Linked DNA regions of Saccharomyces cerevisiae S288C. The protein of the gene in region 4 interacts with the protein of the main gene of each other region in a biochemical or structural test. Each region holds a gene or a part of one and is shown on either strand. Other genes may lie near its edges. The genes, in order: GAL4, NAS2, MOT2 and RPT5.

Evidence for each region.
Region 1: the proteins of RPT5 (region 4) and GAL4 form a complex in vitro, tested with the Saccharomyces cerevisiae proteins (one study listed by BioGRID).
Region 2: the proteins of RPT5 (region 4) and NAS2 form a complex in vitro, tested with the Saccharomyces cerevisiae proteins (3 studies listed by BioGRID, with this or other methods).
Region 3: of the proteins of RPT5 (region 4) and MOT2, one has a biochemical effect on the other in vitro, tested with the Saccharomyces cerevisiae proteins (one study listed by BioGRID).

The regions. Positions count from the first base shown.
Region 1 is NC_001148.4:78,584-85,213, reverse strand, and holds GAL4 (galactose-responsive transcription factor GAL4), read left to right. Parts: upstream 1-2,857; coding exon 2,858-5,503; downstream 5,504-6,630. Other genes in the region: putative rhomboid protease RBD2, read left to right, coding at 1-705; YPL247C (uncharacterized protein), read left to right, coding at 1,018-2,589; GTPase-activating protein GYP5, read left to right, coding at 5,861-6,630. UniProt on the Saccharomyces cerevisiae protein: This protein is a positive regulator for the gene expression of the galactose-induced genes such as GAL1, GAL2, GAL7, GAL10, and MEL1 which code for the enzymes used to convert galactose to glucose.
Region 2 is NC_001141.2:341,691-346,078, reverse strand, and holds NAS2 (Nas2p), read left to right. Parts: upstream 1-2,422; coding exon 2,423-3,085; downstream 3,086-4,388. Other genes in the region: protein disulfide isomerase EPS1, read right to left, coding at 1-387; YIA6 (NAD+ transporter), read right to left, coding at 896-2,017; ubiquitin-related modifier URM1, read right to left, coding at 3,244-3,543. UniProt on the Saccharomyces cerevisiae protein: Acts as a chaperone during the assembly of the 26S proteasome, specifically of the base subcomplex of the 19S regulatory complex (RC).
Region 3 is NC_001137.3:290,012-295,775, forward strand, and holds MOT2 (CCR4-NOT core ubiquitin-protein ligase subunit MOT2), read left to right. Parts: upstream 1-3,038; coding exon 3,039-4,802; downstream 4,803-5,764. Other genes in the region: RRT13 (Rrt13p), read left to right, coding at 231-788; RGI1 (Rgi1p), read left to right, coding at 2,055-2,540; ARG56 (bifunctional acetylglutamate kinase/N-acetyl-gamma-glutamyl-phosphate reductase), read left to right, coding at 5,399-5,764. UniProt on the Saccharomyces cerevisiae protein: E3 ubiquitin-protein ligase component of the CCR4-NOT core complex, which in the nucleus seems to be a general transcription factor, and in the cytoplasm the major mRNA deadenylase involved in mRNA turnover.
Region 4 is NC_001147.6:543,337-548,342, reverse strand, and holds RPT5 (proteasome regulatory particle base subunit RPT5), read right to left. Parts: upstream 3,315-5,006; coding exon 2,010-3,314; downstream 1-2,009. Other genes in the region: RTC5 (Rtc5p), read right to left, coding at 1-1,486; DNA-directed RNA polymerase III core subunit RPO31, read left to right, coding at 4,198-5,006. UniProt on the Saccharomyces cerevisiae protein: The 26S proteasome is involved in the ATP-dependent degradation of ubiquitinated proteins. The regulatory (or ATPase) complex confers ATP dependency and substrate specificity to the 26S complex.

The DNA.
Region 1 (6,630 bases), on a different chromosome or scaffold from region 4:
TACCTGTTAAGTTTTATTTTTGCCCTAAGGGAAGACCTGTCGTTGGCGCCAGAGTCATTGTTCAAACTGCAAATGAGCAGGCTATCGCTTTATCCTTTAATTCACCTATCATTGCCTCATTTACTGTTCAATGTGCTAGCCATCTGGGCACCCTTGAATCTCTTCGAAGAAACGCATGGGACTGTGTACACAGGTGTTTTTTTGAACCTGAGTGCTCTATTTGCCGGAATTCTGTACTGTTTGTTGGGTAAGTTGCTATATCCAGAAGCATTAGTTGCAGGCGCCAGTGGGTGGTGTTTCACCTTATTCGCATACTATAGTTTTAAAGAATCACAGATCCGCCCTAGAACAAGGATCTTTCGCACAGACTACTCAATTCCGACATTATATACACCCCTAGTACTATTAGTCGCAATTGCCGTCGTTATACCTGGCTCCAGTTTCTGGGGTCATTTTTTCGGCTTATGTGTCGGTTACGCCATAGGCTACAAGGAATCGTGGTTTAACAAGATCACTCCACCAGGATGGATCATCACCAAAATCGAAAAAAGTTTAGACGGTTTAATTCGATTAATACCTTGGGGAATTAAGTATTACAGAGATGAGGATATCGACAGAACTAAAGATTACGAACCGTTAATGTCCACAGAAACACCATTGCCTCTCCACAATGACAACTCCGGCACTGTCCTAGGGACTGCCTAGACATTTGTATCGCTATTCTTTCTTTCACAGTTTAAGGATGTATATAAATGTAGTATATATCATTTTATATTCTAATATGCAAGAATTTTCAGTCTCTTCTTTTTCCTTAGCGTGCGTTTATGAAAAAAAATGGAATATGAATAATTACTGGGAGGAAGACCAGGGGCAAGGGGTGAACCATCTTGTCATCTGAAATCTTGTATAAATAATTTAGTAATCAGTTCTTTAGGTTTTCGAGAGTGGCATACAACCTAAAGGGTCAACAGACAACAAGAAGGAAAGGAATTATAGGAGCAAATACACGCCCTTCAAATGGATCCCTTTCACAATGGCAATAAAAGGAGCTCAATATCGTTTGGCTCATCGCAGCGGCAGCCATATAACAAGAACAATTACTTGAGTGGTACTAATGGGCCTTCCTCGGCGGCACAAGATCAAGGTAGAGGCCCATCTCCCTTTGGAATGTCTGGCAACACTACCAATGGCGGTAACAGCAAAAGGAATAGTGGCTGTGACCTAAGTGCCACGTACTATGCAAGTCGATCGCCGATGTATTCACCGTTAGATTTCTCGCCACCAGTTTTTTCACCAAATCATTCTCAGTTACAGCAGGCGAGGGGCTATGCTGCAAATATTCCGGTTGTAAGCAATCTGATGAACCCTTCCATGGCCTCCGTGTGCGAATATCAATCACACTATCCACTCTTTGGGCTCGATTGGAGCGCCGACGACTACGTCTGCTTGGGTTCGTACAAAGAGGACAGCAGAAATAAGTTGCAGGTTCTGCACTCTAATGATCTACTGAGCTGGGAAAGCGTAGTGGACGCAGATGTGGTTTATCCTGTGAGCAAAATCCAATGGGTCCCCTCTCAATTGTATCCAAGGAAACTCGCGACGTGTTCTGACTCCTTACGGATTTGGAGCGTTAGCCCTGAGGAAAGACAGTTCCAAGAACAAATAAATCTATCTCTGTGTAAATACAATAGACAGCACCCCGCCAATCCCGCGGCCGCAGATGACATGAAGGTCATAGGCACTTTCCCACCAATAACATCATTTGACTGGAACACGGTCGATACTAACTTGATAATCTCAAGTTCCATCGACACCACATGCATTGTATGGGATCTGCAAAGCAGTCACTACGTTAAGACCCAATTGATCGCTCACGACAGCGAAGTTTTTGATGTAAGGTTTTTGACAAAATCGACCCAATTATTTGCTAGTTGTGGTGGGGACGGTAGTGTACGAGTATTTGATTTAAGATCGCTTGCGCACAGTACAATTATTTACGAGCCTCCCTCTTCCTCAGTGTCTGGAGCCACTGCGGGTACTATAACACCGTCGTCGAAAGGTTCGGACGCCTTATTGAGGCTGGAGCCATCACCGTATGACCCAAATGTGTTGGCCACTTTTGCAGCTGACTCGAACAAAATCATTATTCTAGATATGAGGAACCCAGAATCCCCTATACTAAACTTACAAGGCCACGGTTCTTCGGTAAACGGGATTAAATGGCATCCCACAAAGCGCAATGTTTTGCTCTCGTGCGGAGATGACTGCCAGGTGCTCTATTGGGACTTGAACAGCTCCTTTATGGAAATTAACGCTGCAGGTAGCAAATCCCCCAGTATTCATGGAACTTCCTTGGAGGACCCTGACGGCGACACAGAGATGACAGACGGTGGCGCAGGATCCGGTTTAAACGAGGATCCCTTAAGTTTAAACAACAACAGCAAGCAGGTGTGCAAGACACTAGAGACTCCTAACATGATGTATGCCAATAAAACACAAGAGATAAACAACATTGCATGGAGGCCCCAGAGGGGCGATTGGTTTGGGTGCGTGAGCGGCAAGAAGTTTCAAAACGTCCGCGTCCTTTGAGACAGCATTCGCCCAGTATTTTTTTTATTCTACAAACCTTCTATAATTTCAAAGTATTTACATAATTCTGTATCAGTTTAATCACCATAATATCGTTTTCTTTGTTTAGTGCAATTAATTTTTCCTATTGTTACTTCGGGCCTTTTTCTGTTTTATGAGCTATTTTTTCCGTCATCCTTCCCCAGATTTTCAGCTTCATCTCCAGATTGTGTCTACGTAATGCACGCCATCATTTTAAGAGAGGACAGAGAAGCAAGCCTCCTGAAAGATGAAGCTACTGTCTTCTATCGAACAAGCATGCGATATTTGCCGACTTAAAAAGCTCAAGTGCTCCAAAGAAAAACCGAAGTGCGCCAAGTGTCTGAAGAACAACTGGGAGTGTCGCTACTCTCCCAAAACCAAAAGGTCTCCGCTGACTAGGGCACATCTGACAGAAGTGGAATCAAGGCTAGAAAGACTGGAACAGCTATTTCTACTGATTTTTCCTCGAGAAGACCTTGACATGATTTTGAAAATGGATTCTTTACAGGATATAAAAGCATTGTTAACAGGATTATTTGTACAAGATAATGTGAATAAAGATGCCGTCACAGATAGATTGGCTTCAGTGGAGACTGATATGCCTCTAACATTGAGACAGCATAGAATAAGTGCGACATCATCATCGGAAGAGAGTAGTAACAAAGGTCAAAGACAGTTGACTGTATCGATTGACTCGGCAGCTCATCATGATAACTCCACAATTCCGTTGGATTTTATGCCCAGGGATGCTCTTCATGGATTTGATTGGTCTGAAGAGGATGACATGTCGGATGGCTTGCCCTTCCTGAAAACGGACCCCAACAATAATGGGTTCTTTGGCGACGGTTCTCTCTTATGTATTCTTCGATCTATTGGCTTTAAACCGGAAAATTACACGAACTCTAACGTTAACAGGCTCCCGACCATGATTACGGATAGATACACGTTGGCTTCTAGATCCACAACATCCCGTTTACTTCAAAGTTATCTCAATAATTTTCACCCCTACTGCCCTATCGTGCACTCACCGACGCTAATGATGTTGTATAATAACCAGATTGAAATCGCGTCGAAGGATCAATGGCAAATCCTTTTTAACTGCATATTAGCCATTGGAGCCTGGTGTATAGAGGGGGAATCTACTGATATAGATGTTTTTTACTATCAAAATGCTAAATCTCATTTGACGAGCAAGGTCTTCGAGTCAGGTTCCATAATTTTGGTGACAGCCCTACATCTTCTGTCGCGATATACACAGTGGAGGCAGAAAACAAATACTAGCTATAATTTTCACAGCTTTTCCATAAGAATGGCCATATCATTGGGCTTGAATAGGGACCTCCCCTCGTCCTTCAGTGATAGCAGCATTCTGGAACAAAGACGCCGAATTTGGTGGTCTGTCTACTCTTGGGAGATCCAATTGTCCCTGCTTTATGGTCGATCCATCCAGCTTTCTCAGAATACAATCTCCTTCCCTTCTTCTGTCGACGATGTGCAGCGTACCACAACAGGTCCCACCATATATCATGGCATCATTGAAACAGCAAGGCTCTTACAAGTTTTCACAAAAATCTATGAACTAGACAAAACAGTAACTGCAGAAAAAAGTCCTATATGTGCAAAAAAATGCTTGATGATTTGTAATGAGATTGAGGAGGTTTCGAGACAGGCACCAAAGTTTTTACAAATGGATATTTCCACCACCGCTCTAACCAATTTGTTGAAGGAACACCCTTGGCTATCCTTTACAAGATTCGAACTGAAGTGGAAACAGTTGTCTCTTATCATTTATGTATTAAGAGATTTTTTCACTAATTTTACCCAGAAAAAGTCACAACTAGAACAGGATCAAAATGATCATCAAAGTTATGAAGTTAAACGATGCTCCATCATGTTAAGCGATGCAGCACAAAGAACTGTTATGTCTGTAAGTAGCTATATGGACAATCATAATGTCACCCCATATTTTGCCTGGAATTGTTCTTATTACTTGTTCAATGCAGTCCTAGTACCCATAAAGACTCTACTCTCAAACTCAAAATCGAATGCTGAGAATAACGAGACCGCACAATTATTACAACAAATTAACACTGTTCTGATGCTATTAAAAAAACTGGCCACTTTTAAAATCCAGACTTGTGAAAAATACATTCAAGTACTGGAAGAGGTATGTGCGCCGTTTCTGTTATCACAGTGTGCAATCCCATTACCGCATATCAGTTATAACAATAGTAATGGTAGCGCCATTAAAAATATTGTCGGTTCTGCAACTATCGCCCAATACCCTACTCTTCCGGAGGAAAATGTCAACAATATCAGTGTTAAATATGTTTCTCCTGGCTCAGTAGGGCCTTCACCTGTGCCATTGAAATCAGGAGCAAGTTTCAGTGATCTAGTCAAGCTGTTATCTAACCGTCCACCCTCTCGTAACTCTCCAGTGACAATACCAAGAAGCACACCTTCGCATCGCTCAGTCACGCCTTTTCTAGGGCAACAGCAACAGCTGCAATCATTAGTGCCACTGACCCCGTCTGCTTTGTTTGGTGGCGCCAATTTTAATCAAAGTGGGAATATTGCTGATAGCTCATTGTCCTTCACTTTCACTAACAGTAGCAACGGTCCGAACCTCATAACAACTCAAACAAATTCTCAAGCGCTTTCACAACCAATTGCCTCCTCTAACGTTCATGATAACTTCATGAATAATGAAATCACGGCTAGTAAAATTGATGATGGTAATAATTCAAAACCACTGTCACCTGGTTGGACGGACCAAACTGCGTATAACGCGTTTGGAATCACTACAGGGATGTTTAATACCACTACAATGGATGATGTATATAACTATCTATTCGATGATGAAGATACCCCACCAAACCCAAAAAAAGAGTAAAATGAATCGTAGATACTGAAAAACCCCGCAAGTTCACTTCAACTGTGCATCGTGCACCATCTCAATTTCTTTCATTTATACATCGTTTTGCCTTCTTTTATGTAACTATACTCCTCTAAGTTTCAATCTTGGCCATGTAACCTCTGATCTATAGAATTTTTTAAATGACTAGAATTAATGCCCATCTTTTTTTTGGACCTAAATTCTTCATGAAAATATATTACGAGGGCTTATTCAGAAGCTTCGCTCATATAACGAAAAAAAAGGGTTTGGATCGAACGTAATTGAGATTGATTAGTTAATACTCAAAATAAAACAGCTCCTACCACCAGTGTAAAGTAGAACGTTAATAGAGCAATGTCTTCAGACAAATCTATTGAGAAAAATACAGATACGATCGCCTCTGAAGTTCACGAAGGTGATAATCATTCGAATAATTTGGGTTCAATGGAGGAAGAGATAAAATCAACGCCATCAGACCAATATGAAGAGATAGCTATAATTCCAACTGAGCCCCTCCATTCGGACAAAGAACTAAATGACAAGCAACAAAGTTTAGGCCATGAAGCACCCACAAATGTATCAAGAGAAGAACCTATTGGGATCTCTGGTGATGAAGACACCCAAATCACTGAACAAAACGTTAATGAACAAAGGCAAGAAACGAGAGAACCTAGTTCTGAAATTGATTTAAATGAGCCATTGGATGTTGAAAAAGATGTGACAACGGATGTGCAAGCCCCAAATGGGCTGAATATTGAAAAAGAATATGATGCAGTCAAAGAGAATGAGAAGGTTTACGCTGATACGAAAGAGGTTGTTAGTAGTCCAGAAAATAGGGAAGTAACTGGAAAAAATTCTGGAGGTGAGAAATCATCCTCGAGTAAATTTCTCGATGACGAATCTGGTACTACGACAGCTGCAAATGCGAACGACATTTCTATAAGTAGTGAAGTAACCCCAGAAAGGTCGTCAGAAAATGATAATAACCAGATTCATATTACCAATGAGGTAGCCGCAGGAATAAACTTGAATGAAAACAAGGAACAAAAAGCTGCTATAGAAGATGGGCCCGTAACAGCAGAGAATCTTTCCTCAGAAACTGCTAGGAAAGTACCACCTATACC
Region 2 (4,388 bases), on a different chromosome or scaffold from region 4:
GGTCCTCGGTGTTTCAGTGAACGATTTGATGTATCCTGAGGGGTTATAAAGTCTAATTTCAGGGAAGTATTCAATATTTTCATCTCCACACAAATCGGCGCTCTCGATGCAGTTAACCTGTGAAAATGTTATGTTCAGTGTTTTGCTCTCCTCTTTAAACTCCTCCCATGTTTCCATCCAAACAGGTGCTAAATGTTTGCAGTGCGGACAGTATGGACTATAGAAGTCAATAATATGCAGCCCCTTAGATAGCTCTTCTTTGAAGTTTGTTGGATTTAAGGGCTCTGGAAAGCCCTCTGGTGGTTCAGCGGCGGCTATAGTGAATTTCAGCAGAAAGGTGATGCATGAGAAGAAGGTAACTACGAGCCTTTTCAGATTCATTTTCATGGCTGCTGCCTTACAGCTAGTTTTTATAGATAGTATTTTTCTTTCCTGGATAGAATTTCTTGAGGAAAATAAATAAGGAAATGAGTATCAACACGAGGAACAGTACAGGCGCCTTCTTAGTGCTATGATCTTCACTGGTTTATGCTTTACGTCTTTATCGCACTAAATTGAAGCCATTCATTTGTTCGCACCTATTTCCGCTTCAAAAATAGTATTTAAAAAAGAGACTATTTTGGTAAGGATAAGCTAAAATAGTGCCAAGAAAACGGCCAATGTAGAATATTGTCAAGACTATGAAAATGTATAAGTATATTTTGTCTATAGAATCATGTGGGTGTATATAATGTGTGCGCAAAGCATTTGGTGGGCTGTTCGATGCAAATCCTTTTAGTATTAGGAAAAGAGAGGCTTACCTTATTTGGTATATTTACAAGCTGTAATACCTAAAATATTAGCGCAGGCATATTCATAGCACACTCAATGTGTGGCGTGTGTGAATTTTAAGGCTTTAAATTACCATAGTGCTAATATTTTCTAGGCGGTTTCTGAAATACTCAAAGGACACTAGAGTGATTGCCGAGGCCGGAATGGTTCGTACTAGGTTAGTAGTAAATCCAGAATAAAATCCCTTTAGTCCCTCTTGTGCATAAGTTGCTTTAATGAGGGGGAACAGACGTCGTTGAATGGAATCTGGTATATCTGATTTCAGTTGCATTCTGGTTCGTAAAATTTCGTGCGGATATGTTACTGCTGATGCAATCATCTTAGAGACGGACGATGCCATGATCAACCGTTGCAAGTTGATGGAGTTGGTGTTGTTCTCCCGAGAATAGCAGTGAAATCTTACCTTCAAATCTTCGTATATAGGGAAATGGATAGCCACATGAAATAGCCCTAATAATGAGGGGACCAGCCCCGCATATAATGCTTTAAACCCTTCCTGATAAAATAGCTTTCTGAATGCATCGAAAGTGCCTTTGTAATGTGTGGGGTGCTCACCGAGGTTTGATTGCAGCATAAGTCTTGTCTTCACAACCCAGATTGGGTTGGTCAAGGTGGTAGATGCAGCGCCTGCCGTGATTGCAGCACATGACTGAGCAACAAAATCAAACTGTGGGAAGATGCCGTGAAAGAACTTTTTGCTGAATTCATACACGGAGAAGTATATCATCCAGGTTGGGAAGTAGCCCAGGACAATCGGTACCAGCCCTTTGTAGAGGCCCCGCGGGCCTTCGTCTCTTACTATAGTACTTAATGTCCCCATTATCCCCCTATAGTAGGGGTTCTCGAACCTAGTTTGTAGTCCTTGTGCTTGCAATCGCGTTTTGGCAACATCGAGGGGACATACTGCCACACCTGATAAGAATCCAGCAAATGCGCCGGAAAGAGCTGTGATCTGAGTTGAGGATAGTGGTACCCATTTCTTTCGCAGCGTTGTCCCTATAATTGACTCAGTACTGCTGTTCATCTTGATGGGCTCGATGATATCTGCTGAGGACAGTTGGGAGGAATGATCAGGGAATATCAATTGTTCTTCATGCAACAACAGTGGCTCTTCATGGTCTGCAGAGCAATACTGCTGCTCGGGCAGTAAACCGCAGTTGGGGACAGGATTATCAGTCTGTGTCATTGTGCTAAAGACTGCTGCCTTCAGTGTTGATCTCACTACTATTACGGTTGGCAGTCTGTAGTAGAGATTCTTTTCAGAATTCGATTAAGCACTAGGCCGGTGGGTAACCCCTAGAAATTGGTGCTATTGGACCATATTATGAGAGTCATTTAAAGGGCCCTTCGGGCTGGCTCACATAAAGGTTGGGATCTATGACCTTTATCAATACGGATCTTACTACTGGCTATTCATTAATTCTCGAAATTTGCTGTCCCTTGCGTGCGCCGTGGATTGTGTTCGATAAGGCTTACTTTATAACGGTTGGAATATTGGATAATAAAGGGAAAAAAAATGTTCAGCATTGAGAGATAGAAAAGTTATCACCAGAGTAAAAAGGAGCAAGAATTAGAATAAGAACGAACTACAATGGAGGAAGAAGAATTAAGTAAATTGTTGGCCAATGTTAAGATAGATCCGAGCCTAACATCAAGAATTAGTCAAATAGACAGCTTCAAACTGTCGGAATTGATGGTTCTAAAGACAGATATTGAGACACAACTAGAGGCGTATTTCAGTGTGCTTGAGCAGCAAGGCATCGGCATGGACTCTGCGTTGGTGACGCCAGACGGGTATCCTCGTTCGGATGTCGATGTATTGCAAGTCACTATGATCAGAAAGAATGTTAATATGCTGAAGAATGATTTAAATCACCTTTTGCAAAGATCACACGTCTTACTAAACCAGCACTTTGATAATATGAACGTTAAGTCAAACCAAGATGCAAGAAGGAATAACGACGATCAAGCTATTCAGTATACCATCCCTTTTGCATTTATCAGTGAGGTAGTACCCGGTAGCCCTTCAGATAAAGCAGACATAAAGGTTGATGATAAGCTGATTTCTATTGGTAATGTGCATGCGGCAAACCACTCTAAACTTCAAAACATTCAGATGGTTGTAATGAAAAATGAAGACAGGCCACTTCCCGTCCTTCTCTTGAGAGAAGGGCAAATCCTAAAGACATCGCTAACACCTTCGAGAAACTGGAATGGTAGAGGTCTTTTGGGTTGTAGGATACAAGAGCTATAATCTTCGTCATGTACTAAAAAAAACCAATCCAGTTATTACTATTACTTTTTATACTATCTGCATATTACCTACGTTATCTAACTTGTGATTCATTCAAGCTGTACAGCACTTTATATATATATATGTAGCTGCTTCTTAAAAATTATTTGCTGCTATTTTTAACCACCATGTAATGTTGAAGTAAAAGAGATGATGTCACCGTCTTCCAATATGTAGTCTTTTTCGCCTTCGAGCTCCCAATCGGTGTCGTTGATTAATGTGATGATACCGGGTCTTATAGAATCATCTTCGATGAAGATACTAACGTCATTAGGGTTATTGATCATAGTAGATACAATGTGGTCAATCAAATCGCCCACTGTGACAGGATCTTCTTTGTCCATCTTAATTTTATGTACTCTTTGTTTTCCAAAAATAGCATCAAGTCCACCTAGAAACTCCACTTTCACGTTTACCATCCCGATTTTGCTATTAACCTATCTCGTTTTAGTATCAGAAATCAGTATTGTTTTCTGCTTTGGGAATTTTTGAGCTCTCCATACCGTCTGCCAGTAGTATTTCATTAGGTCGATGCGATGCCATTACTTTGTCGTTATATTTTTTCTGCCGAAGTGGGCGACAATGTAATTAAAAAAAAAAGTCTAAATAAGATTGAGAACTTGGGAAGGAACATAATCCGGTATGTGAAATCAATTGAATCTATCCTCTGTCTCGGTATAATATTATACAAGTTAGGAGAATAGTTATATATAAATATATGTGAACTTGTAGAACTGATGGCATTTGATGGCCGTCACATGGTACGCCACTAAAACCTTGATTAAGTAGATTAGATTAGACTAGCAAGTGTTGGTAACGTTTTGTAGGAAAGAGTCTCAAAGTACCCAGCGCCAACTTTTGCTAAAGTCAATCATAAAATATATGTTTTTAAAATATGTAGGTATGCCGTGCATTTTTATTCTTTTTTAATGTTTAGCTTTCAAAAAAGCTAAAATAAACCATAAGCGTTATTCTTATTATATTGATAGTAGAAGAGGAAGAGTGGTTATCTTTACTCAAATTAACGATTGCTTTTATTTCTTACATTAAGGTCGAAACTATTTGCTACTATGAAAGCCAAGCAGAAACAAACAAGACCTTATTAAGATTGATGTTTCAAGCTATGCATTCCCAATTCAGAAGAACAAGGGAAGAGCATAAGACGGCTATCTGCATTTAACAGTAGTGGTCACTCCTACAGTAGTCATACTTCTCAAGCCTACTTTCGGTATGGCTTTTAAAGTCATAAAATAACGAATAGTTC
Region 3 (5,764 bases), on a different chromosome or scaffold from region 4:
GTTCGAGAGATAACACTTTGCACGTTTGGAAATTGCCCAAGGAGTCCTCCGTTCCTGATCATGGGGAAGAACATGATTATCCATTAGTCTTTCATACCCCTGAGGAGAACCCATATTTTGTTGGTGTTTTAAGAGGACATACGGCGACTGTAAGAACTGTCTCAGGCCACGGTAATATTGCCATTAGTGGCTCCTATGATAATACATTGATTGTGTGGGATGTTGCGCAAATGAAATGTCTATATATCTTGAGTGGACATACGGATCGTATTTATTCGACAATCTACGATCATGAAAGAAAAAGGTGCATCTCTGCCAGTATGGATACCACTATTAGAATTTGGGATTTGGAAAATATAAGGAATAATGGAGAATGTTCCTACGCAACAAATTCAGCATCGCCATGCGCCAAAATACTTGGTGCTATGTACACTTTGCGGGGTCACAGAGCCCTAGTCGGTTTATTGGGATTATCCGATAAATTTTTAGTCAGTGCTTCTGTAGACGGTTCAATAAGGTGTTGGGACGCTAACACTTACTTTCTGAAGCACTTTTTCGATCACACGCAGTTGAATACAATCACCGCATTGCACGTTTCTGATGAGGTATTAGTGAGTGGATCTGAAGGTTTGCTCAATATTTATGATTTAAATAGTGGGCTGTTAGTCCGTTCAGATACATTGAGTGGTGCTGATAATGTTTGGAACGTTAGTTTTAAGGACAACACACTTGTGGCAGCGGTAGAACGAGACAAGCGAAATCTTTTAGAAATTTTGGACTTTAGTTGAAGATTGATGTGAGAATGATGCAGAACTTACCTTGTCACGTTTGGAACTCAGTTGTACTTTTTCGGTGTAAACAAATATAAAACTTTAGAATTTACATTAATAAGTTATGTGCTATTTATTAGTTTAATATATCAACATTAATTACATGCGAGCTATGTATTATTAGCTCAATCAGCAGGACTAAAATCGAGGAAAAAGTAATTTTGTTTATGCCCAGTTCAGTTATCGTCCATTTGTAGCAAATGTGGTACAAGTTGACCCATATTTTCATGCATTGGGCCATGCAGTAATTATCACACTCACTTTGTCATAATGTATACAATGGCCGCTTATTTGCGACTCGTCTCATATTTTTCCTGAAACTGTAGCTGTGTGTAATATTATTCATTAACTTCGATAATTCGGCTACAGAAGACAAGAGCTACATCCTTACTGGTGCGAATAAATGACATAATCTGTCAAGAGTACCGAAGTAAAAGCAACGATTGCCGAACACATCTTCCTGAAGTATCATATGCCAATACAAGGTTTCAATAGGAATTATGAAAGCGGCATTATCACCCTTAATCTGAAATATGTAATGATGACGGTGCAGTATGTTGACTACATTGTAAAGTTGCACTTTCACTCAACTCATGAAATTGATGACATTAATCCTACGTGACTTACACATATGCCATGAACGAAGAAGGTGGCACCAAAAATCCAGCGTTTCCGATATACACGCAGTCAAATGTTCAGACTAAACTTTGGTATTCTGACAACGTGTTGTCATACCTGTTACGAGCCAGAAACGTATTTCTTTTTGGGTGATACAATCTCCAGATGACTGCTTTTTTTTTTTTTACCCCAGATTCAGGGGCCGAAGGAACGGAAATGCGGTGTGGCGAGATTGCGGATGTGCTAAAAAATAATATCCTCGAGGCAACCAGCATAATGTGGACGGCTCTCGGCAATTGACTTCCATAACAAATGCATCCTGTAATCAGGGGTATTATAAGTTACTGTATGGTTAATTAAATATAGAATGAAAGGGGCAGCGTTCTTAAGGGGTATTGCTGGGTGGAAAAATACAAGTGTCTTTACTTGATTGTGTGCACATATATAAGGCAAAAGATTTCTAGCGTATATTTGAATCTTTTGTTCTTCCACGTTCAAATTTCTTTGGTCAAAACATTTCATAAAGGGACAAGTTCTGCATTGTATTCTAATAATTGCCCATAGAACATATAAATTAGGTATCGACTGTTTTCGTCTCCACTTTAAATGACAAAGAAGGATAAGAAGGAAGTAAAAGTTCAAACGGTTACCACGGAGGATGGTGAAACCGTGAAAGTTTTTGAAGACCTGCAGGGTTTTGAAACTTTCATTGCCAATGAAACTGAAGATGATGATTTCGATCATTTGCACTGTAAATTAAATTACTACCCACCATTTGTGCTACACGAGTCGCACGAGGACCCTGAAAAAATTAGTGATGCTGCAAATTCTCATTCTAAGAAGTTCGTGCGTCACCTGCACCAGCATATTGAAAAGCATCTTTTGAAAGATATTAAGCAAGCCGTTAGGAAACCTGAGCTTAAATTTCACGAAAAATCGAAGGAAGAGACATTTGATAAAATCACCTGGCATTACGGTGAGGAAACTGAATACCATGGTAGACCTTTCAAGATAGACGTTCAAGTAGTTTGCACACATGAAGATGCTATGGTATTTGTCGATTACAAAACACATCCTGTAGGCGCAAATTAAAGGTTGTGTCATAGAGAATGTGTTAGTACTGAATCCTAACCTCCCAAATTCATAAGTAGTTTTATGTACCTTTAATGATTTACGATTAGCAACTTTTTGAATTTTTTTTATTGAAATGTTGAGCCCGAAGACGTGAAACGCTATAAAGTAGTATCACTGTTACGCCGCGAAACCTGATAATGTATTGTTAAACTACTACCTGGTCGATGATTATATCGACGCTTCTAAAATGAATGCTATTACCCGAACTTCCACTTGATTGCCGTCTCTTCCCGGGTAACATTGTAAGTGTGAATATGATTTTTTTTTTTGCTTTCTCTTTTCAAAATTTCCGAAAAGCATATCAAGACGTGTACTACATACAGTAAAAGCCCTCCTAGGGTTTTCAGTAGTGGTTCGAATAGTATAGATTACTGCTTTTGTTACTCTGCAACAATCCCAAAACTTAATAAAAAGTACAAAAGACCAAATAAAAGTATCGTATATAATCCAGTCATAATGATGAATCCACACGTTCAAGAAAATTTGCAAGCAATCCACAACGCCTTAAGCAATTTTGATACGTCATTTTTATCGGAGGATGAAGAAGATTATTGCCCTCTTTGTATTGAACCAATGGATATTACTGATAAAAATTTTTTTCCTTGTCCCTGTGGTTATCAAATTTGTCAATTTTGCTACAATAATATCAGACAAAATCCAGAATTAAATGGCCGTTGCCCAGCATGTCGTCGTAAATATGATGACGAGAACGTCAGATACGTCACATTATCTCCGGAGGAGTTAAAAATGGAGAGAGCCAAGCTCGCTAGGAAGGAGAAAGAAAGAAAGCATAGAGAAAAAGAACGTAAAGAGAATGAATATACGAATAGGAAACATTTATCTGGTACCAGAGTTATCCAAAAGAATTTAGTGTACGTTGTTGGCATCAATCCTCCTGTTCCATACGAGGAAGTTGCGCCCACTCTGAAATCTGAAAAATATTTTGGCCAATATGGTAAGATAAATAAGATTGTGGTTAATAGAAAAACACCCCATTCTAACAACACAACCAGCGAGCATTATCACCATCATTCACCAGGATATGGCGTTTACATAACCTTCGGATCCAAGGACGATGCTGCAAGATGTATAGCTCAGGTAGACGGGACGTATATGGATGGCCGCCTGATCAAAGCTGCCTACGGTACTACTAAATACTGTTCTTCTTATTTAAGAGGATTGCCATGCCCAAATCCCAACTGTATGTTTTTGCATGAACCTGGTGAAGAAGCTGATTCTTTTAATAAAAGAGAACTCCACAATAAACAACAAGCGCAACAGCAAAGTGGCGGAACTGCATTCACTAGATCTGGAATACACAACAATATATCTACCAGTACCGCTGGTTCAAATACCAATTTACTAAGTGAAAATTTCACAGGCACACCTTCACCGGCGGCGATGAGGGCTCAGTTACATCATGACAGCCATACAAACGCTGGAACACCGGTATTAACACCTGCTCCGGTCCCTGCAGGGTCAAATCCTTGGGGAGTTACTCAATCAGCAACACCTGTAACCTCTATCAATCTCTCTAAAAACAGCAGCTCCATAAACTTGCCAACATTAAATGATTCTCTGGGCCATCATACTACCCCCACAACAGAGAATACCATCACAAGTACGACAACTACTACCAATACCAATGCTACAAGTCACTCCCATGGTAGCAAGAAGAAGCAATCTCTTGCTGCAGAGGAATACAAAGATCCTTATGACGCACTAGGGAATGCTGTTGACTTTTTGGATGCAAGACTACATTCTCTATCAAATTATCAGAAGCGCCCTATATCTATCAAATCCAATATTATTGACGAAGAAACTTATAAAAAGTATCCGTCTTTGTTTTCTTGGGACAAGATTGAGGCCTCAAAGAAAAGTGACAATACATTAGCCAACAAACTTGTGGAGATCCTGGCTATAAAGCCAATAGACTACACTGCTTCTGTCGTTCAATTCTTGCAGAGTGTCAATGTTGGTGTAAATGACAATATTACAATCACAGATAATACGAAAACTCCCACCCAACCAATAAGACTGCAAACCGTCTCACAGCAAATCCAACCACCATTAAACGTCAGTACCCCTCCACCGGGTATCTTTGGTCCACAACATAAGGTTCCTATTCAGCAGCAACAAATGGGTGATACAAGCTCAAGAAATTCCTCTGATTTACTAAATCAACTAATCAACGGAAGGAAAATTATCGCCGGTAATTAATCCGACTCTAAATATTTTTCTTGTTTGCATTAACCATAATTTTATCTATTTTTATTTCTCATGAATATATAATCTCTCCGTTTATAACGAAATGCAAGAAAAAAAAATCTCACCCATTTTTTTAAACCTTTGACGTGGAAAGGTATCTGGGAAAGGTATCTGGCTAATGAATAATGCCATAGCATATACCAGTATAGTCTATTTACTCGTTACAACGTATGAAAGCGTCAGCGCTGCAAGAATGACTAATTCATAGAAAATAATCATCATGATATATATCATAATGCACGGAACCTGCTTCGCTAATTTTTTCACTTAAATCACATTTTTTCAACGAAATCTCTTGCGCAGTTGGTTGGAATTCTTATCCGAATGACTCAGTCTACATCAAAAAACTGTGGCCGAATGGTGGTAATTGATGACTCTTCTATTTTTTTTTTTCATATAAAGAGCTTGCGCGCGTGTTGTTGTTCGCTATCCATTTCCATTAGGAACATTTTTGGATATTATTTTTCAGACCCGTAATATACTTAACACATATACCACTAAAGGCAAAAGAAAGAGAGATCTGAAGTGAGAAATAAGTCTGCATCATTATGCCATCTGCTAGCTTACTCGTCTCGACAAAGAGACTTAACGCTTCCAAATTCCAAAAATTTGTGTCTTCATTAAACAAATCCACCATAGCAGGATTTGCATCTGTACCCTTGAGAGCTCCACCATCCGTTGCATTTACGAGAAAGAAAGTCGGATACTCAAAGAGGTATGTTTCATCTACTAACGGCTTTTCAGCTACTAGATCCACTGTGATCCAACTGTTGAACAATATCAGCACAAAAAGAGAGGTTGAACAATATTTGAAATATTTCACTTCCGTCTCACAACAACAATTTGCTGTGATCAAGGTGGGTGGTGCCATTATCAGCGACAATCTACACGAACTCGCTTCCTGCTTGGCATTT
Region 4 (5,006 bases):
CCTCCTTTCTTTCCATCGACAATAAACCAGGGTCTAATGAACCTCCGTAACCAGTATTTCTAAACACAGCAAATTCTAATGTGCTGTCAAAAGTAAGCGACACGTTCCCTGGTATGTATCTCTTGGATGCTGGTTTTATTAATGGTTGTTTATCCCCGATTCCAATTCCGCCACCAATTGTATTGAAATAGATCGTGCCTTTTTGGTTGACTTTATAAATATCCTGCCTGGGTGATATTTCTATTATTCTCGTATTCAGATCGCCAAAATAATCTTTATTTGTTACTTTCCACGGATCGTCTATGTACACAGCGAAAGTAGTTTTCCTTTTATTCAAATGCGATGCATCCATCATTTGATCTGACTCTTTCAATTTAGGAAATTCTTCAAGAAAATGGCGGTATCTTGGATTCTTCTCAGCTGCGTATTCTTCAGAATTTGTTATCCTCATTCCGCTAACAACTAAAATCGAAGGCGCCATCCATTTGAACACCTTTGCTTGCAAAGACCTCATTGAGAAGCCACTTTTCCTGCCGATGTATAAACTTTGTAGCTTATGAATAAATAATTCCTTTGGTAGTCCCGTCGATAACTGTGCCAACAGTGCTGGAGTCATAACTTTAGAATCCTGAATAGACGATAAGTTTGTGTCATGATCAACTAAATCGTGCTGCAAATAAAAAAAATGCTCCATTAAATTCTCTAATGGTTTTAATAGATTGGGCATTACAGTTCTTATTGCAGTTGAAAATTGTTGAAACGTTATGGAATGTGATTCTATATCGCCCACCACGTCTGGATTCATAGTTCTAAGGAGATTGAGTGCTGAGACTTTGAAATTGCCCCATTGATCATGAGTCTCTGTATTATCCAATTTAGAATTGGTGGTTGGACAATCAACTGTTAAAATTAAAAGCCAAGTTAAAAACTGAAGCATAAAATCAGCAGGAATGCACAGCATTTCTGTATCAACATCATCAAACCCAGTTATTATTTGTTTTATAGTCAACTCCTTGTTTCCGTCGTTTTCACTTTCTTCGGAGAGTTCTTCTTTGTCAGTTTTCTGAAGTGATAAAGAGATAAACAGCAGTTTTAGTTGATCATAGGACTTGGTTTTCAAGAATTTGGCACATCGTGCCCTGTTTAACAACAAAATGCATTTTAATAACCCATATCCCGTAATTGGTTCGTAAGATGATTTCATTAATGGGAAGTTGCTCAAAACCCTCAACATGTTAGTCACTATCCCAACAATCATGGCATGATTCTGCGGAAAATAAAGTGAGTTGCATAAAGCTTTGTGAGAAATTGGAGTGTTTAGATCTTCAATTTGCAAATTTCCCTTAAAACTGACTAATTCTGGAATAGTGACCTGTTGCTGTGCTTTGTTATTGAAATATGCCAAAATATCTTTGCTATTTGTGAATTTTTTTGAGTGGGAAGAACCCTCTTCGTTACTGGAACTGATTGAAGAAGACTGTCCCATAATACTACAACAAATATTACCTGGTCCGGTTGCTTTAGTAGTACTCCTTCAGTCTGCAAGCCTGTTTAAATTTAATGCTTTGGTAAGATTAATCAATCGTTATATGAAAAGTAGAATGGTGCCGATATCTTACTTCTACCTGTTTTACTCCCTTTCTGCAGCCTATTAATATGTCACTAAATCATCTACAGATGTGTGCTGTATATGGAGCTCTGCAAGTTAAATACTCAAAGCACCCGTAGCCGTCGATGCGTCTTGTTCTCCTACGCTTTTCTCTTTCCTTCAATGCATCCTTGAAAATTGCGAAAGTGCCAACGAAAAAGAAAAATACAGTAAAAAAAAAAGTCAAACGCCAATGAATATATACCTGTTGCTACGCTTTCGGTTTCATCAAATAATAAGTAGTATACAATTAGCCATATACAGTATCAATAATAAGGAAGTTACGCGACTTTAAATAAAAGGATTGTTCTAATATGTAGATATGTGAATGGCGGCTTGATAAATCAAAATATTATTATTTTTATGCATAAAAGGATACCGATTTCGATTTTCTTGCTTGAACTTCACTTATACCCTCAACGAAATCTTCGTGTTTAACGGAAGATTGCCCATTCCTTAAGGCAATCATACCTGCCTCCACAGTTACCGCCTTTAACTGGGCACCATTAAACTCATCAGTAGACCTGGCAAGTTCTTGCCAGTTAATATCATCATCAGTGGTCATTTTTCTTGAATGAATTTGTAAAATTTGAGCTCTCGAGTCTTCGGATGGGAGTGGGAATTCAATTTTTCTATCCAATCTTCCTGATCTTAACAAAGCAGGATCTAAAACATCAACTCTATTGGTAGCCGCCAAGACTTTGACACGATCATCGGAGCTAAAGCCATCCAATTGATTCAATAATTCCAGCATGGTTCTTTGCACTTCCCTATCACCGGATTTTTCAGAATCAAATCTCTTAGTACCAATGGCATCCAATTCGTCAATGAAAATAATAGTTGGTGCCTTTTCCTTGGCCAGTGCAAAAGCATCGCGGACTAGTTTAGCACCTTCACCGATATACATTTGTACCAATTGAGGTGCTGCCAGCTTCAAAAAAGTAGCATTCGTCTGAGCCGCGCAAGCACGAGCTAATAAAGTTTTACCTGTACCCGGAGGCCCGTACATTAGGGCACCCTTGGGCGCTCTAATTCCCATATCTTTGAATTTATCTGCACGTTTCATAGGTAACACAATGGCCTCCACCAGCTCTTCAATCTGTTTATCCAACCCACCCACGTCCGAGTAAGTTTCTGTGGGTTTTTCATCTACCTCCATAGCTTTTACACGAGAATCAAATTCAGAGGGTAAAGTATCCAAAATCAAATACGAGTCTTTATTCACACCTACCAGGTCATTTGGCTTAAGTTTATCAGGATCTACTAAACCGACCATGGGCAAGAAAACAGTCTGTCTAGAAGAAGTCTTGACTACAGCAGCTTTGCCAACAGCGGTGTTATCTAAGTTGACATTACCACCTTGTGTAGTAGATTCACTATTTTCTTTGTCTTCAATCTCATTCATATCCATGACCTCGACAACGTTAGCCACAAGGTACGGTAACTGTCTATTATTCTTGATTTTTTCCTTATTGTCCTTAATCTTCTCGAGCATAACGTTGTTTTCATGGGACAGTCTTTGCAATTCAGATCTAAAAATACGAATTTCATTGTCCAAGAGCTTGGCTCTTGTTTGAAGCTCCTGCGTCGAAAGATTCAAAATCTCTTGATCTAATTCATCGTCTCCTGGTAAAGTTTGAGCATCCAATTCTTCCAAGGTGGCCATCTTAAACTAAAATCAAAACTTTCCAATTTGTTCTCACCTCTATAATGCACAAATAAGTCACTCGTATAAACGTTTTAGACAAACTCCTGATGTGCCCTTTTTACCCAAGAGTTCATTAATGGGGTCCTTTTCAGTAAAATATACATTAATTCATTTTTGCCACCACATATTGGCCGGGTAACTACATGATTAAACCATTGCTAATAAAAGGAATTCGCCAAGGCTGCCGACCAACAACCATTACTGACGTTATTTTTTTACGAACATACTCACTAGGTAAACCAGGTATATATATTAAACATAGTATAAAGTATCAGCCACTAATTGCACTCGTCTCTTTTGGGCTTTCGTCTTTTTTAAATTTTTTTTTCTCTATTACAGTAACTAATCGCAAACAAATCAGGCATCTGTGTATATTCGTTGGAATCTCAATGCCAACGGCATCACATTGCAGAAAGTAGAAGCTGCAAAATACATACTACTGATATATAGCATGCTTATTATCATCACTATATACGTGAATATCGTGTTTCACGAAATTTGCCATTTTTTTTGCAAAATTATTGCACAGGCTCTTCTGGCAGAACTCATCACCAGATCAAATAACAGAAGAGGTTAAACTTGCCCTTTTACTATAGCTTACCTTACTATTCTTTGCATATATTAATCGTACAATATCGTTGATTTGGGGAAGATTGCTTAGTTTGTTGTGGCTAGAGTTTTTGTTGATTGCAGACAGTATACTAGATCATTTTTTTCTTTTCCATCTGCACTAAATTTTTAAACTCATCACTGGTTGGTTACATAGTTGTTCCTTTATTGTGTTCAATACTATCTGCTTTCTCCAAAACTGTAAGCGAGTCCCGCAATTTCGAAGAATTCGATGAAGGAAGTCGTTGTAAGTGAAACCCCGAAAAGGATTAAAGGGCTGGAATTTAGCGCTTTAAGCGCTGCCGATATTGTCGCCCAGTCTGAAGTGGAAGTGTCTACAAGAGATCTCTTCGATTTAGAAAAAGATCGTGCTCCTAAGGCGAACGGTGCTTTAGACCCCAAGATGGGTGTCTCTTCCTCCAGTCTTGAATGTGCAACCTGTCACGGCAACTTGGCATCGTGTCATGGCCATTTTGGTCACTTAAAATTAGCTTTGCCTGTTTTCCACATTGGGTACTTCAAAGCCACCATTCAAATACTGCAAGGTATCTGTAAAAACTGTTCTGCCATATTGTTATCAGAAACAGATAAAAGACAATTTTTGCATGAACTTCGTCGTCCAGGCGTAGATAATTTAAGACGTATGGGTATATTGAAGAAGATTTTGGACCAATGTAAAAAGCAAAGAAGGTGTCTGCATTGTGGTGCTCTTAATGGTGTCGTGAAAAAAGCCGCTGCTGGTGCTGGTTCAGCCGCGTTGAAGATTATCCATGATACATTTCGTTGGGTAGGTAAAAAGTCCGCTCCTGAAAAGGATATTTGGGTGGGAGAATGGAAGGAAGTTCTTGCTCATAATCCAGAACTAGAGCGTTATGTGAAACGTTGTATGGATGATTTAAATCCACTGAAAACTTTAAATCTTTTCAAGCAAATTAAGTCTGCAGATTGTGAGCTGCTTGGTATAGATGCAACAGTTCCCTCTGGTAGACCAGAGACTTACATATGGAGATATTTACCCGCACCTCCGGTTTGTATAAGGCC